2 linked regions of the Saccharomyces cerevisiae S288C genome follow. The protein of the gene in region 2 binds, or shares a complex with, the protein of the main gene of each other region. Each region holds a gene or a part of one and is shown on either strand. Other genes may lie near its edges. The genes, in order: MIM2 and MIM1.

Region 1 (2,767 bases), on a different chromosome or scaffold from region 2:
AATTGAGGCAGAATTTTACTGATAAAGTAGTACGGACCAAACACATTGGCCTGGAAAATAAGCCCCATGTCATCTTTAGACTTGACGCCCACCAGTTGTATCTTGTATGTCGGATTTGTCACTGCCTCCAATGGATTGGTGAAAACCTCCTTGACCGCTCCGATCCAATCTATACCGTCAAAGATACCTTGCGCAGCATTCACGAAAAGGTAGTTTATCGCCCTGTACTTTTTGTTGATGTCGTAATATGCGTTCAAGACACTCACCATGTTGGTGAAGTCCACCAACAGATAATCAAAGTCTATTTCCAAATCCTCTACACGGCCTGATTTGTTGTAAAAATCTTTAATCTGGTTAATCACCTCCTGCACTCGAGGAAGCGTTCTAGAAGTCACCACAATGGTCAATCTGACATTGGTGTCCTCAGTTTCAATCAGACGGAACACAATGTTCAGACCAAGATTACTATTAGTACCCGTTACGATAGCTACTTTCCTGTTCATCCTATCCTCCTACTTTTTCTCTTTGCTACTTTTTTTCGACACAGATCATGTGCTTGTTTCTCGTCCTATCTTTTAAATACCTGCTCAATTCAAGATGCCGTTCTTTCGTTAAACGACCATAAATAAAGGCCCACGTACTATCGGAGATAAAACAACGGGTGTGCGAAAAGTGCCATTTATCTGTTATAACTGCTATATGCGGATACATAAACAACAAACACTTATACAAAGTGTTCAATGAACCTACTCCATAGAGTCTTGGCCATTCTCCTACCTATATACTTGCCCAGCAGGGGCAGCAGGACCCAGTTGAGCAGCTTGTTCAACTGTTGCAGCGACTCTTCCCATTGACGCTGTGCATCTGCGAGCTCGTTGCTGAGTGACGTGTCCTCGTCGCTGAGGTAACCATCTTCTTCCAGGCCCTCCACGCTGTTGATTGTGTCGATGCCCTGCAGGATCACAGAGGTATCCTCGCTATCTGCCATGTTCTAGTTATTGTTGCTCGTGCAGTGATGTGCTGTGGTGCTGGGGAGTGGTTTGCTCTGCCGATCTTGCTTGTAACGGCCGGCCGTTAAATGGGCCTTCGGGGTCCAAACGAGGCGCGGTTTCGTGAATCTTGCTTGGCTGTTTTTGGCTTGTTAATCCCAATTTGCGATAGTTTACGTTTCCACGGGGCACTGCTCAACGGGTTTAGTTCCGTGGAGCAGATGTGTTGCAGATACTAGTTGATATTTATGTTGATGTTGATCATTCTTGTGGCACAAAAGTATAAATAAAGCAGCGTGCTCTTTTTTGTACGTGGAGTAGTAGAAGTATATTCGCAGGTCTTTCTCTCATTGTTCAGGACATATACATACGTAAGCGTAGTTTTCTTCAGTAGAATGTGGACAAACACTTTCAAATGGTGCAGCAAAACTGAGAAGGAGACCACTACTGCAGACGCCAAGGTGTGTGCTAGCGTGCAGGGCCTGAAGGCCCTGCAGCAGCAAATTATGGATAGCACCACTGTGCGTGGGTCCGTTAATAACACGATGACTCCAGGCGGGATTAACCAGTGGCATTTCCACAATAAGCGTGCGAACAAAGTGTGCACGCCTACAGTACTAATCCATGGATACGCTGCCTCGTCGATGGCGTTCTACAGGACGTTTGAGAACCTGTCAGACAACATTAAAGATCTATATGCCATCGACTTGCCAGCCAATGGTGCCTCAGAGGCGCCAGCATTGCAAGTGAACAAAACCAAGAAGATCAAGTCTCTCAGGTTTAAGCATATAGAAGATGACGTAGTAATCCCTGTGATAGAGAAGCGCCCCCCAGCAGAGGACATCAAGTCACACCTGGAGCAGTACGAAAGCTACTTCGTAGACAGGATAGAGCAATGGCGGAAGGATAACAAGCTTCGCAAAATAAACGTGGTGGGCCATTCATTCGGAGGATATATTTCATTCAAATACGCCCTCAAGTACCCTGATTCCATTGAGAAACTGTGTCTCATATCTCCTCTTGGTGTGGAAAACAGTATACATGCTATCACCCACAAATGGGAGCCCAACACCACCTATCCACTTACGTTTACCGACCCATCGTCCCGATATTATACAAGAAAGCTGAACGTACCGCGGTTTATCTTTGAAAACCAGCTAAACGTTTTGAAGTGGATGGGACCCATAGGCTCCAAATTGTGCTCGAACTACATCTCCACCGCATACGTAAAAGTTCCGGATCAGATATATAAGGACTATCTTTTGCACTCATTTGTCGGGAAGAACCAGACGGTGCAACCACAGACAATCAAGGTGTTCACCCATTTGTTTGAAAGGAATCTGATCGCTAGAGATCCGATAATAAACAACGTTCGTTTTTTGAACCCAGCAACGCCTGTCATGTTCATGTATGGCGAGCACGATTGGATGGATAAATATGCGGGCTACTTGACTACTGAATCAATGCTAAAAAACAAGGCAAAGGCTAGCTACGTTGAAGTCCCTGATGCTGGCCATAATCTTTTCCTGGACAACCCGCAGCACTTTGCCTCTTCTTTAGTCTCGTTCCTGTCAAAGTAATGCCTATATAGAGTAGAGAAGAAAAATACAATATGGAAAACCACGCATATATATATATATATATATAAATACATACATATACATAATACATCACTTTACTTAACCGTATACAAGATAGAGCAACATATACATCAAGAGTGTAAACCTCTCATATGTGAGCGGATGTTCCGATCCATCCCGAACGAAACAAAGCAAAAT
Region 2 (2,751 bases):
CTTGGGCTTGGCAGGAGCATCGGTGGATGTTGGAGCTACGGGCTTCGTAACACTTTTCGACTTATCAGTAGAATAAAATCTCAAAGATAAAGGATAGTTGGGCTGTACTCCTTGCGCTCTCAAAGGCCAATGACACGAGGGAATAGTGGAAGCTATTAATCTAGGGCCTTGATTTTTAACAAAATACAAGCTTGCTTGACGTCTTGTCACACATGACGCTCTTGATGCGAAATTCAACATCTTAGTATATTATCTGTAGTGATAGAGATAGCGTATATTATGCGCTGCCTGAAATGCACTGCGCTGTTCATATTCATCACCGTGGCAATGACTGATCCATTTATTTGGAGATGATTCAACGAATAATTTTTCACCGCGGGATTATCGCCCAAGACGGGGTCGTTTGAGGGTAATACCGTGGCTAGCTTTATGGCTTGTGAAACTATTGCCAGTTATGTGGTTACGTATAATCTACCGTATGTGTGTGTGTATTTATTTATGTAGGTTGCTAATGCTTTGGTGATCGTTTAAAGGAACTTGGACGCAACCCTCCCACGGGTGCCAGGGCTTGAAATCTCTTTCAATGCTGCTATTTTGCGCGACTCTGGGTACACCTTATACCCCTTGTTTCTATGGTTAAACCAATTGAATCTCCAGCAGAGCTCGTGAGCAAATAGCTCGCCGAAGCCGAGCATCATGCCGTTGAGGAAGGGCAAAAGTAGGTTGATGGAGCACGAGCCTACAAAGGATACAAGGCTCTGCACAAGTGGGCTCTCGTCGGCACTCACTGTGTTCTGCACCTCCATACAGTCTTTGTCTTCTGATTCGTCATCTGACACGCTCTCCCAGAATCCCACAACCTCTGTCATATTTCTGTCTTGTGGCAGTTTCGTAAGAAGGGGGGTGATGTTTCTAATATTACAGTGATGTTCTATTGTTCAAGTAAAGTGTATGGCTGTTTCTTATGGCGCGGAATATACCACTTCGTTATAAGTGATTACATCTCGTAACGCATTCCTCTTGTTCAGTGGTAGGGGAGGCCGATGGTAGTGGAATAATACGCTTTTATGGGCCATTGGTATTACTATTTATCTTCGTTATAATAAATAGTACACGTTGCAGACATATTTGGAGGAGAGTTTTTAAAGTACTGTTGGGGTGCTCTTGCTGTGCATTGTAAGTAATCGTGTCCCAGTGGCCGAGTGGTTAAGGCGATGCCCTGCTATTTCCTCAGAAAAGCAATTAGGCATTGGGTTTTACCTGCGCAGGTTCGAATCCTGTCTGTGACGCATTTCTTTTTTGTGAATTCTTGCTTCTTATCCTTCTACAATCCTTTCGTGACATTTATTGAATCATCTCTACAAAATTTTTACACATAGCTAAGGTTAGCTTGTTCTACATTACACAAGTGGTAGCAAAATCGTTTACATTGCACTCAGCTATATCAACATCACGTTCTACCGCAACTAGTAATGAGCTTGCACATTAGTAAACTGATTGAGCAATATCGTTCCACTAAGGACAATGACCTTAAATATATGCTTTTAAGGCAAAACTTTAAAATTAACGACATAGAGGATGAGCTGGCTCCTCTTGTTAACGAATTGCTGCTCCCGGTATTGGTCGAAGAACAAGACATGGAAATTCTCAACCTAGTATCGTTTCAAGTGCTCCCCGATTTAGTTCTTTCTATGATCAGCGACCCTGCAGCTGCTCAGTTGGGATGGGTAATAAGCTTGATATGCGACCCTTTATTAAACCAAAGCATGATACATGCAAATCGTTCTTTTGTTCTGATTGAGACACTAAGAAATGTGTTACAAAAAATTGAAAACTCCCCTCATTTAGATTACCACCAACCAGTAAACAGTTCATTAGAGTTTATCTCCAAATTTATTGTTGAAATGAAAAGGCATATGTGTGATGTGGATGCTGCGCAGCTTTCACATTCACTTTCTGAAAGCAATATGCTAATTTACATAGAATCCCTTAATCTATTGCTAAAATTTAGCTTCTTTTCAGACGCGGCAAGTCCTTCAGTAATGGTCACACTGCCCTTTGATATTTTGAATGACGTTTTTACAATTGCGCAGGACTATTCTGCTACGAATACAAATGAAAGCATTGATAGGATCACAGAAAAATTACTTTTGACTTCTACGCAATTAACTCATCCGGTGGACCTGGAAAATTTATGCCCCAAAATGAAGTACAATACTTTAGCAGCAGTTTCTCGAATATGGTACAAATTTGGCCCCATAGTCGATAAATTATTTACTAACCGGCTATTACCGGTTCTATTCCCCCCGCAAATGGGAGAAGAATGTAACGTCGAAGATGTTCTCGAAATAGTTCATAACTTCCATCCATATTTTTCTATTCGTAGGCTAAAGGATAATAGGCCTCTATTGTCAGATTCGACTATTAGCCAGCTAAGAGAGGGTTTGTTTGGTATGCTCAGCATATTAAACGACTCGCTGACAAGGACGCAAAATGAAAACGACCATGGTAGCGACAATCTGATCGACAGTGACGACGGATTTGGCTCAGACAACGATCCTGAACAACAAGCGTACCTCGATGAACTCGTATCAGAAGGTTATGACGAAAACATGTATGACGGTGATACGGATGACGAAGACGCAGATGATATAAACGTTGAAAAAAATGATGAAGCCACCAAAGACATTACAGAAACGAACAAAATCCTTTTAATCTTTTCTGAGTTACATTATCCTCAGGAGGAGCGCT

The links.
Region 1: MIM1 (region 2) and MIM2 share a complex: the UniProt entries of both Saccharomyces cerevisiae proteins name them as parts of the MIM complex.

What each region holds. Positions count from the first base shown.
Region 1 is NC_001144.5:339,546-342,312, reverse strand, and holds MIM2 (Mim2p), read right to left. Parts: upstream 989-2,767; coding exon 725-988; downstream 1-724. Other genes in the region: ERG27 (3-keto-steroid reductase), read right to left, coding at 1-503; lysophosphatidic acid acyltransferase ICT1, read left to right, coding at 1,385-2,569. UniProt on the Saccharomyces cerevisiae protein: Component of the MIM complex required for outer membrane protein import. Involved in import of the subset of proteins with multiple alpha-helical transmembrane segments, including UGO1, TOM20 and FZO1.
Region 2 is NC_001147.6:273,485-276,235, forward strand, and holds MIM1 (Mim1p), read right to left. Parts: upstream 870-2,751; coding exon 528-869; downstream 1-527. Other genes in the region: ribosome-binding protein MDM38, read right to left, coding at 1-240; LAG2 (Lag2p), read left to right, coding at 1,473-2,751. UniProt on the Saccharomyces cerevisiae protein: Component of the MIM complex required for mitochondrial outer membrane protein import. The MIM complex cooperates with the receptor TOM70 in binding of precursor proteins and promotes their insertion and assembly into the outer membrane.